3 linked regions of the Macaca mulatta genome follow. Each later gene encodes a partner of the first gene's protein in a complex. Links are inferred from orthologs where the notes say so. Each region holds a gene or a part of one and is shown on either strand. Other genes may lie near its edges.

Region 1 (3,750 bases):
AAGAAAGCTCGCTTAGAAAAACCAGGTAGTCTAGGAAGTGTCAGAACTCCAAAAAGTGATTGGAGGTAATCTATCCAAAGCAGGGAAGGATGTGGTGGCATAATAATAAATACTGGCTGGCCATGGATCAAGTACTTTGGAGCAAGGAGGGAAACAAACCTGATTCTGAGGACAGGGGGAGGATGAACCATAGCATGCCCCTAAAAGATGGGCTAGAGCAGAAGTTTTCAAACTAACTGGCATGAGAATCACTCGAATGCTTTGGCGCAAAAAAAAAAAAAAAAAAAAAAAAAAAAAAAAAAAACTGTTGGGCCTGCATTTCTACGTTTCTGATTCAACAGAACTGGGTGAAGCCCAGTAATTTACATTGCTAATAAGCTTCAAAGAGATGTTGCTGATTCAGGAGACCACATTTTTGGAACCACTAGACCAGGGTATTAGATCAAAGTTCTTGGCCTTTAACTTATAACCAAGACGGTCTCAGAGCCCCAGTCAATTGAGTTGGGTAAGACTCCATAAAAGTGGCATGGACACTTAAAACTAGAAGGGCACTGGCCGAGCGCAGCGGCTCACCCTGTAATCCCAGCACTTTGGGAGGCTGAGGTGGGTGGATCACGAGGTCAGGAGATAGACACCATCCTGGCTAACATGGTGAAACCCCGTCTCTACTAAAAATAAAAAAAATTAGCAGGGCGTAGTGGCTGGCGCCTGTAGTCCCAGCTACTCGGGAGCCTGAGGCAGGAGAATGGTGTGAACTCGAAAGGCGGAGCTTGCAGCGAGCCAAGATCCGCCACTGCACTCCAGCCTGGGCGACAGAGTGAGACTCCGTCTCAAAAAAAAAAAAAAAAACCTGGAAGGACACTTAAAGGTGGAAAGGCAACACTCAGACCCAGAGGGCAAGAACTGAGGCACAGACAGAACTCATCAACTGTATCATAGTAGCAATTTACAATAATACAAAGCTAACACTGTATATCAGGCACTGTGCTCAGTGCCTCATCTGCATTATTTTCTTTATACTCAAAAAAAGACAACACAGTGAGGCAGGTATTGTATTATTACCTACATGTTTTCAGATGATGAAGCTGACTATATATAATAGAGACTTTAACTTGCTCCAAGTGACAGACCTAATAATAGCTAAATAAAACTGAAATCTTTGGTCTACTAGTCCATCACCCAGGACCAACAAAAGTAGCTTTCCTCAACCTACTGATAAGGCCTGTAACAAGGCTTCTCCTCTCCTGGTCAAAACCACACTTTTAATGTCAATTTTAAATCTGCCCTTGCATAGTAGGATAATCTGTGTTAACTCCTGAATTCACAAGCAATCCTACAAGAAGATAAGTCTAAATACGGATAAGAGGTAGGATAACTGATCTGCTGAGGACCCAATTTGTTTATCTGCTATTTCGAGTCTCTGCACATCCAAAAATGCAAAGGAAACTCTTACCTAATTCTTGCATCTAGAATAGCCTTTCTCCAAATCCTGCCTTCTCCAATTACCTCAAAAGAATTGTTAGGATTAAGTGGAAATAGGTATGGTAGTTTTTGCAGTTAAACTCAGTGAAATTAACGATTATATTTCCGTTCTATAATGCTGTGTTACAGGACCCAAAGCTCCTTAGAGAGGTGGAGTCTGGACACCCAAGTTTAGCAGTTATTACCTCATTGGAGATAGTTCAAGTTATGTAAGGATCAAGAATGACAGGTGAAGAGGACACAAGAGAAGCGAAGCGTCTTCAAAACTAAACTCCAGAAACTATCAGTATTTACAGGGCAAATAAATGAAAAAGAAACCGCTAATGAAACGTAAAACAAATAGCCAAAGGGATATAACGCCGGAAAGAGGCATAAGAGTGCAAGTACTTCAACTAACTTTTAATCAACTAGAGCTCATTAATCCCACTCCCCAGGCACTGGGAAAGGGGCTTTGGCAAGCCCAATGGACTCCAGAGGCTCTAAGTATAAAACACACTGCACACGAAACAACAGAGCACCAGCGTTGGTGCAGGACTTCAGACAGCTGCAGGAACCTCACAAGGAAGGTCAGCCGGTCCGCTCAGGCAGTCAGTCAGTTCACCGCAGCCCATTCGCTCCCCACCCGCTTGGACTCCTCGGACCCAGCCACTCTCACACCCCTCTCGCGGGCCCGAGCGTGGCGGGAAGACCCACGCACACTCCAATGCCGCTCACAGCCGTATCAGTGAGCCCGCACCCACTCCTCAGGGTCTTTCACTTCCCACCCAACCCGGCAACCCGCCACCCCCGCTCCGCTTCGGTGCCTACGGGGACTCCGCGGAGTTCGATAATTACCTAAAGCTGCACCGCGCCGCCATTACACCGGATGTACGTCACTTCCTCTTCCCGAGCACCGACAGTAGGAACAAGGCAGATACTGAAATACATAAAAACTTGACGCTCAATTGGCTTGACGCGTTATCCTTTTAATTTATTTCAGATACCATATCATAATGCCAGAGTCAAAGCAGTCGATCCAGGCACACTGTATTCTTATCAAAATGGCGACTAAAAAGAAGTTGGCATGAACTACAAAGTCCGAAATCCAGCACCTGTGCTGACGGAAATGACGAAAGCATAATTGTAGTTTAGCGGTGAAATGGCGCGGTGTACGATGGGAATTGTAGTTCATACAGATGCGCGCCAGCGAGTTAACATCCACGCTGCTGACTGGCAGCCTAGCAGTGTTTAGGGTCTAGGCAAATTTACTTTAATCTAAAAGTATTTCACTGCATTTTGGGAATTTTTTTTTTTTTTTAGTAGTCAGTTGTCACTTTCCTTGAAAATCTTAAGTGAGAGATTTTCTTGAGACTTTTTTTTATAAGAGTTTGACCAAGAGTCAAGTGCCTAATAAATTCCAAGACATCCAAGCCAAGAGAATGGGAGAATATTAGATCATAAATAGAGTGAAATAATGAGGAAAAAATAATTCTGTAGAGACTATGTTGCCTGTCTTTTAAGTTAAGGTACCAACTGGTATGACCTGAGAATAAGGAGATTGCCTGGCTGAGTAGGAAGTAGCAGTTTGTACAGCATACAGAACTAGGGCATCAAACAAATTGTTTCTTTAAACTTCACTTTTCACTAGTAACAAAACGTAAAAGTTCAACTACTTACTATTTTGGAAACTCTCTTTCTAAAACAAGAATATCTTTATGTTATCAAATCTTTCATAAACCAGGCCTGATTTCTCCACACACTTCTCTATTACAGTTTTAGGGTGCTGTGCTTCCACTCCTTTCTGGAGGCAAAGTGTGAGAATTAAGAATAAAAACACTGCAGTTGGACTACTTACGTTTGAATCTTGAGTCCTTTGATTATTTATGGATGATTGGGGCAAGTAACTTCACATTCTGTGGCCGTTTCCTGATCTGTTAAATGGAAATACTAGTAGTACCCATTCATGCAGTAGTTGTAAGAATTGAATTAGTTGATTCACAAGATACGTTTAAGATAATTGCTAGTATACAATAGTGTTATCTATTTTATTTCATATTTAAGATATTTGGCCATTGTTGATGGTGCACTTTGGTGTACCAATACAGGGCACAGGAGATGGATCTGGAGATGAACATTTGTATTTATATATTTAAAAACCCACAATACTATCTGTGATGGTTAATTCTGAATATCAACTTGATTGGATTGAAGGATGCAAAGTATTGATCCTGGGTGTGTCTGTGAGGGTGTTGCCAAACTGTTGACAACTGTTTGTTGTCAAACAGTTGA
Region 2 (3,650 bases), on another chromosome or scaffold:
AGATGTATGTTGATGAAGTCTTAGTCTGGTATTCTGAACTCAGTATTCCAGAGTTTTTCCCTCTGGAAAGTCCTCACAGAAGGTGGGCTGTGGGGTGGCAAGTAGAACTTGGTTGCAGGGTGGTGGCAAAGTGCTCTAGGCTGGCAGAGACCTGGTGAGCTAAATGCCTGGTTACTTTTGTAGCTCGTGGCCTCAGGTGAACTGATGAGTTCCAAGAAGAAGGATTTGCACCCTCGGGATATTGATGCATTTTGGCTACAGCGGCAGCTCAGTCGTTTCTATGATGATGCCATCGTGTCGCAGAAGAAGGCAGATGAAGTATTGGAGATTTTGAAGGTATGGCCAAGATAACAATAGTTGTATGTGTAGTGTATCTTGGTACATGGGGACAGTGTATGAAGTGGCAGATGGCTTTGTCCTTAGTGGTGGTGTTGCCTTCTCTCTGCAGACGGCCAGTGACGATCGGGAATGTGAGAACCAGCTGGTTCTGCTGCTTGGTTTCAACACCTTTGATTTCATTAAAGTGTTGCGGCAGCACAGGATGATGAGTGAGTATATGGTGGGCTCTTCTTGCAGAGTGAGTACATATGTGTGCGTGTGTGAGATGGAGATTCTGTTGTTTTCACAACCTAAGTGCTTGTTTCTTTTATTTTTCTTCTTTCTACTCTAAGGATGAAGGTTTTTTGCCTTACTTCCTCCTCTTCACTTTTCCTTTGTTCCTTTTGTTGTGGGTAGTTTTATACTGTACCTTGCTGGCCAGTGCACAAAGTGAAGCTGAAAAGGAAAGGATTATGGGAAAGATGGAAGCTGACCCAGAGCTATCCAAGTTCCTCTACCAGCTGCACGAAACCGAGAAGGAGGATCTGATCCGAGTAAGGACTGCGTTGGTTTATCTGTCTGATTTCTGAGCTAACAGTGGCTAGAAGATTGCAGCATGAAGCTAAATTCATATTAAAAGTGGAAGTTGAAAAAGTAATTTCTCTAAATTTTTCGGGATTTGTCAGTGCATACAGGTTAGAATCAACACATCCACATTGGTTTGGTCGTTAGACCAGTGACCTGCTGCTGTCTTTCACCAGCACTATGGGGATCTTTATTGTTTAATTGCACAGTAAATACATGGTGTTTACTAAAATAGAGTAACAGAACACATGTGCTTGCTTAACAGAACCCACACTTTTACCCCTCAGGGGTAGCCCTTGGTACTTAATTACAGAACGTCTATTTCCGGCATCCCTGTACTGCGCATTGCCCCTTTAAAGGTGTGTGTTCGCTCTGATCATTCTGGTGGTCCCCATGTAAAGCGTTGTCTTTCTGTTTGGTGACTTATTAGTGAGCACCTGTGACTCAAGTATTAGCTAAGCAGGGACAGAAAAGGACAAGAACCTGTGATACTGATGAATTGTTTTTGTGATTTTCATCTTCGTCCGCTACAGGAGGAGAGATCCCGGAGAGAGCGAGTGCGTCAGTCTCGAATGGACACAGATCTGGAAACCATGGATCTCGACCAGGGTGGAGAGGTAGGATCCAGGGCGATTTACGTCCCAGGCCTTGTTGGGTGGAAAACGCGCTTGCTCGGCTTGCTCACTTCCTTGGGGTTTTTGTCTTTCACATTCCCAGGCACTGGCTCCACGGCAGGTTCTGGACTTGGAGGACCTGGTATTTACCCAAGGGAGCCACTTTATGGCCAATAAACGCTGTCAGCTTCCTGATGGATCCTTCCGTCGCCAGCGTAAGGGCTACGAAGAGGTGCATGTGCCTGCTCTGAAGCCCAAGCCCTTTGGCTCAGAAGAAGTAAGTGAATTGCTTTCCTCAGTTCTCTGCTTAGTTCGCCTCCTGGTTTGGATTTCAACCATTGACCAGAATGTAGCTTTGTTTCATATATAGTTTATTTTAGGGCTGAAAGCTGCAACAGAATTTTCCCATTCTGATTTTGAGCCCAGGGGACAATATTGATCTCTGGACTGACCTTTAATGGAGAGTTATGCAAAGAGATTGCCAGGGAACAAAATCCTGGCAATCCCACAAAACCAGTCTGCTCAGGGATGCTGCCAACATGATACCGATGGCGCTTCTTTTCTTCTAGCAACTGCTTCCGGTGGAAAAGCTTCCAAAGTATGCCCAGGCTGGGTTTGAGGGCTTCAAAACACTGAATCGGATCCAGAGTAAGCTCTACCGTGCTGCCCTCGAGACGGATGAGAATCTGCTGCTGTGTGCTCCTACTGTAAGCGCCACCCTGCCTGCTTTTTTCTTGGGGAATATGGGTGGAGTTTCTGTTGGAAGATTGTTTTTTATTTCCACCCCACCCCCTAATTCTTTGTCCTTTGATGAAAGAGAGGTTAAATGGTAGGATAAAGTACCCAGGAAAAATTCTATTCTCTGTTTGGGAAATAAGCCCGTGGAAGTTAGGGCAGTGAGAATAATCAGGTGAACAGGCGTTCTCATCCCTGACCTCTCCCGTAGGGTGCTGGGAAGACCAACGTGGCCCTGATGTGCATGCTCCGAGAGATTGGGAAACACATCAACATGGACGGCACCATCAATGTGGATGACTTCAAGATTATCTACATTGCCCCCATGCGCTCCTTGGTGCAGGAGATGGTGGGCAGCTTTGGAAAGGTGAGGGAGTAGAACTTTCCTCCAGAGGATACGGGGCGCAGCTGTCAAAGTGTTGTGGCCAGGCCTGGACCTCACCGCTTTTTGTATTGGGGCATCTCTGGAATGCCTCCTGGGATTGTTTTTATTTTTTATTTTTCTCTCCCCATTTCCAAGATGGAACTGAACCCAGGTACAGAGTTTCTGAAGTAAGACTGTCCTGAGCCATCTTTTACAAGGGTTAGCATCTTTCTTTCATCCTCTCCATGGCAATTTCCTGCAGTTGGTATCATTTGTGTTATTGACGTATTTATGAAACATCAAATGGATGTGGATAATAATAGACCTAGTGGTGTTACTCTAGGTCTTGTTATCTACAAGTTGCCATTTCTTCCTCTTGTGTACAGAGTTCCCAGAGATCTTTTTTTTTTTTTTGAGACAGGGTCTTGCTGTCACCCAAGCTAGAGTGCAGTGGTACAATCATGGCTCACTGCAGCCTTGACCTCCCAGGCTCAAGTGATCCTCCCACTTCAGCCTTCCTAGTAGCTGGGATTATAGACATGTGCTACCAGATTAGCTAATTTTTATGTGTTTTGTAGGGACAGGGTTTCACCATGGTCTAGAATTCCTGGGCTCAAGCATTCTGCCCTCACTGGCCTCTGAAAGTGCTAGGATTACAGGCGTGAGCCACCGTGCCTGGCCCCGAGAGATCTTTTGTCTGCTTTATTTGCCTGAGTTAAGTTTCTGTTTGTTTGAGGAAGATATGCTCATAAGATCTGATTCGCCTTGTGTTCACCTGATGGGTTGATGCCTGCTCCCAAGGCCCTACACTCCAACCGCCCAAACAGAAAGCGTGGTGTCCAGGCCCCTTCAAGCACTCCTGCCTGATGTAGTTTTCCTCCCACAGCGTCTGGCCACTTACGGCATCACTGTTGCTGAACTGACTGGGGACCACCAGTTGTGCAAAGAAGAGATCAGTGCCACTCAGATCATCGTCTGCACCCCCGAGAAGTGGGACATCATCACCCGCAAGGGTGGCGAGCGCACCTACACCC
Region 3 (3,650 bases), on another chromosome or scaffold:
TTTTTTTTTTTTTTGAGATGGAGTCTTGCTTTGTCGTTCAGGCTACAATGCAGTGGCGCCATCTCTGCTCACTGCAACCTTCACTTCCTGGGTTCAAGCGATTCTCCTGCCTCAGCCTCCCAAGTAGCTGGGATTACAGGCATGCACTACCACACCTGGCTAATTTTTGTATTTTTAGTAGAGACGGGGTTTCACAATGTTGGCCAGGCTGGGCTCGAACTCCTGACCGACCTCAAGTGATCTGCCCCCCTTGCTCTCCCAAAGTGCTGGGATTACAGGCGTGAGCCACCATGCCCACCCTATAAGACTTGTTTCTGCTGCCTCTCATGCTCAGTGGCTTGTTTCCATTTCCTTGTGTGTGTCTAGTATTCTTTAGTATTTGAGCCCATGCTTAGAGCTCAAATCTGTTTTTTTTTCTTACCCCACTTTGGAGATTTTTTTCTCATTGGAGATTTTGCCTTGCTTATTGACAGCCCAACAATACATTAAAAATTTAATAAGTATCTAGTTAAATTATAGTGGGAACATCTCTCCAAGTATTTCATCTGCCAAGTCTATATATAGAAATATCTGGTCTTATTGTGAAACTTGCCCCTTCTCTTTTTTCCTCTCTCATTTAACAATATATTAGATATCTTTCTATGTCATGATCTCTTTCTTTTTCATGGCTGGGAAGTATTCCTTTGTATGAATAGATAATAATTTAACCATTCTACCGTTGCAGGACATTAAGTTGTTTCCAGTTTTTTTATTATGAAATTACAGTAAACACATTGATATGTATGTGTTTGTGCGTTTCTGCTAGTATTTCTGTAGGATTGATTTCTATAAGTGGCATTAGTGGTTGATGAGATTTTGATTAAATACTGTCAAATTGACCTAAATAGGCTATGCTAGTTTATACCTGTACCAGCAGTGACTGAAAATACCCATTTTCCTGTGCCTTCCTTTTTGACTGTAGATATTATTGATCTTTTTAATTTTACTAATTCAAGGAGAGAAAATTCATGTTTCTTTTAGAATTTGATGCATTGGTTATTAGGTTAAGCATATCTTCATGCATTTATTGGACATGTATTTCTTTTTTCTTTTTTTTTTTTTTTTTTTTTGAGACAGGGTCTCTGTAGCCCAGGCTGGACTGCAGTGGTATGATCATAGCTCACTTCAGCCTCGACCTCCTGGGCTCAAGTGATCCTCCCACCTCAAATTCTAGAATAGCTGTAATTTTAGATTACAGGTGCATGCTGTCATGCCTGGCTGATTTTTGTATTTTTTGTAGAAGTGGGGTTTTGCCGTGTTGCTCAGGCTGGTCTAAACTCCTGAGCTTAAGCAATTCTCCTGCCGTGGCTTCCCAAAGTGCTGGGATTACAGGCGTCACCCACTGTGCTCGGCCCTTGGACATTTATTTCTTCTGAAAATTGTTCATTTTTCTTTCCTTTTTTATTTTTGAGACAGAGTCTTGCTCTGTCATCCAGGCTGGAGTACAGTGGTGGAATCTCAGCTCACTGCAACCTCTGCCTCCTAGGTTCAAGCAATCCTCCCACCTTAGCCTTCTGAGGAACTGGAACTACAGGCATGCACCACTGTGCCCAGCTGATTTGTGTATTTTTAGTAGAGACGGGGTTTCACCATGTTGCCCAGGCTAGTCTCAAACTCCTGGGCTCAAGCGATCCATTGCCTTGGCCTCCCAAAGTGCTGGGATTACAAGTGTGAGCCACTGGCACCTGGCCATTTGTCAGTTTCTCTGTTGAATTGTTTCTTATTGATATAGTAATATACAGTAGTCCCCCCTTATCTGTGGTTTCACTTTCTACATCTGAAAATATTAAATGGAAAACTCCAGAAAAAAACAACTCATAAAGTTTAAATTGGTCACTATCCTGAGTCATTTGGTGTAAACTTGTGCTGTCCCACCAGGAACATGAATCCTTCCTTTGTCTGGTGTATCTGTGCTGTATGCGCTACCTGCCTGTCCGTCACTTAGTTGTCATCCTGGTTATCAGATAACTGTTGCAGTTTGCAGTGCTTGGATTCAAGTACCTTTATTTTATTTAGTAGTGGCCCCAAAGTGCAATAGCAGTGATTTTGGCAATTAGGAAGGCTAAAGAGAAGCTGTAAAGTGCTTCCTAAACGAAAAGATGAAAGTTCTCAACTTAAAAAAAACTTTTCAAATCCTATATTGAAGTTGCTAAGATCAATAGTAAGAATGAATCTTCTATTGTGAAATTGTGGGGAAGGAAAAAGAAATTCATGCTAGTTTTGCTGTTGTATTTCATACTGTAAAAGTTACAGCCACAGTTCATAAGTGCTTAGTTAAGATGGAAAAGGCATTAAATTTATGGGTGGAAGATGTGAACAGAAATGTGTTACGTTTGATGGCAGTCAGGTTCAGTACTATCCGTGGTTTCAGCCGTCCACCATACTTAGAATGTATCCCCCTAGGACTACTGTCTGGTTTGTGTTGCAGACATTTTCTACCAGGCTGATTTTTTTTCTTCTTTTCTTTTTTTTGAGAAGGAGTTTCACTCTTGTTGCCCAGGCTGGAGTGCAATGGCGCGATCTCGGCTTACTGCAACCTCTGCCTCCCAGGTTCGAGCGATTCTCCTGCCTCAGCCTCCTGAGTAGCTGGGATTACAGGCATGTGCCACCACAGCCGGCTAATTTTGTATTTTTAGAAGAGATGGAGTTTCACCATGTTGGTCAGGCTGATCTGGAACTCCTGACCTCAGGTGATCCGCCTGTCTCGGCCTCCCAAAGTGCTGGGATTATAGGCATGAGCCACCGTGCCTGGCCTAGGCTGATTTTCAATGCTGTCATTTTCAAGAAATCATGGTATGTTTCTCCATTTCTTCAGATCTTTAAAAAGCCTCTATTTTAATGAATTTTTACAGATTTCTTCTTATATGTCTTTCATGTTTCTTAAGTTTATTCCTAGGTATTGAATTTTTTTTTAACTGTGGAAGTAGGATTTAAAAACTGTTATATTTTCATTTTTGGCATGAGAGAAAGCTAGCTTCTTTCTTTACATATCTTGTACCTGACTACTTAACTCTTAGTTCTATTTTCTGTATATTCTTCCCTGTAAGTTTTCCCATAGTTACCTTTGTTGTGAAAAGGAGGAAATTATTTTTCTTTCTCCTTTCTGGACTAAATAGTCTCTTGTTTTTAGGGCTCTGGACCTGGGCTTGTGCTATTAGGGCTATGGTTGAATAGCAGCATGGGATATCATTTTTGTGGCCTTGCAAGGGAACATAACCACCAGACATAATCTTATTTCTGTGGGAAATGTTGTTCTAAATGCCAAACTCCAAATTACAAAAGACCTTTTGAATATACCTCATTCAAAAAGAACAAGATTTGGGCTGTCTTTAGATTGTGCACTGTGTTAAAATTACAGAATCTGTTTGAATTTCAGGAGCGTGAGGATCATCCCCGGAGAGGACGGGAGGATCGGCAGCACAGGGAACCATCAGAACAGGAACACAGGAGAGCTAGGAAAAGTGACCGGTACAGACACCGGGGCCATTCCCACCAAAGGAGAACGTCTAACGAGAGACCTGGGAGTGGGCAGGGTCAGGGACGGGAGCGAGACACTCAGAACCTGCAGGCTCAGGAAGAAGAGCGGGAGTTTTATAATGCCAGGCGACGGG

What was found.
Region 2: CWC22 (region 1) and SNRNP200 share a complex: the UniProt entries of both Homo sapiens proteins name them as parts of the minor spliceosome. The link is inferred for Macaca mulatta from reciprocal best matches to the Homo sapiens genes CWC22 and SNRNP200.
Region 3: CWC22 (region 1) and SNIP1 share a complex: the UniProt entries of both Homo sapiens proteins name them as parts of the minor spliceosome. The link is inferred for Macaca mulatta from reciprocal best matches to the Homo sapiens genes CWC22 and SNIP1.

What each region holds. Positions count from the first base shown.
Region 1 is NC_133417.1:84,940,197-84,943,946, forward strand, and holds the start of CWC22 (pre-mRNA-splicing factor CWC22 homolog), read right to left. Parts: upstream 2,357-3,750; 5' UTR 2,317-2,356; intron 1-2,316. UniProt on the Homo sapiens protein: Required for pre-mRNA splicing as component of the spliceosome. As a component of the minor spliceosome, involved in the splicing of U12-type introns in pre-mRNAs. Promotes exon-junction complex (EJC) assembly.
Region 2 is NC_133418.1:5,031,711-5,035,360, reverse strand, and holds part of SNRNP200 (U5 small nuclear ribonucleoprotein 200 kDa helicase), read left to right. Parts: intron 1-183; coding exon 184-336; intron 337-448; coding exon 449-548; intron 549-735; coding exon 736-872; intron 873-1,436; coding exon 1,437-1,520; intron 1,521-1,620; coding exon 1,621-1,794; intron 1,795-2,086; coding exon 2,087-2,224; intron 2,225-2,463; coding exon 2,464-2,619; intron 2,620-3,502; coding exon 3,503-3,650. UniProt on the Homo sapiens protein: Catalyzes the ATP-dependent unwinding of U4/U6 RNA duplices, an essential step in the assembly of a catalytically active spliceosome. Plays a role in pre-mRNA splicing as a core component of precatalytic, catalytic and postcatalytic spliceosomal complexes.
Region 3 is NC_133406.1:203,254,541-203,258,190, forward strand, and holds part of SNIP1 (smad nuclear-interacting protein 1), read left to right. Parts: intron 1-3,415; coding exon 3,416-3,650. UniProt on the Homo sapiens protein: Required for pre-mRNA splicing as component of the spliceosome. As a component of the minor spliceosome, involved in the splicing of U12-type introns in pre-mRNAs. Down-regulates NF-kappa-B signaling by competing with RELA for CREBBP/EP300 binding.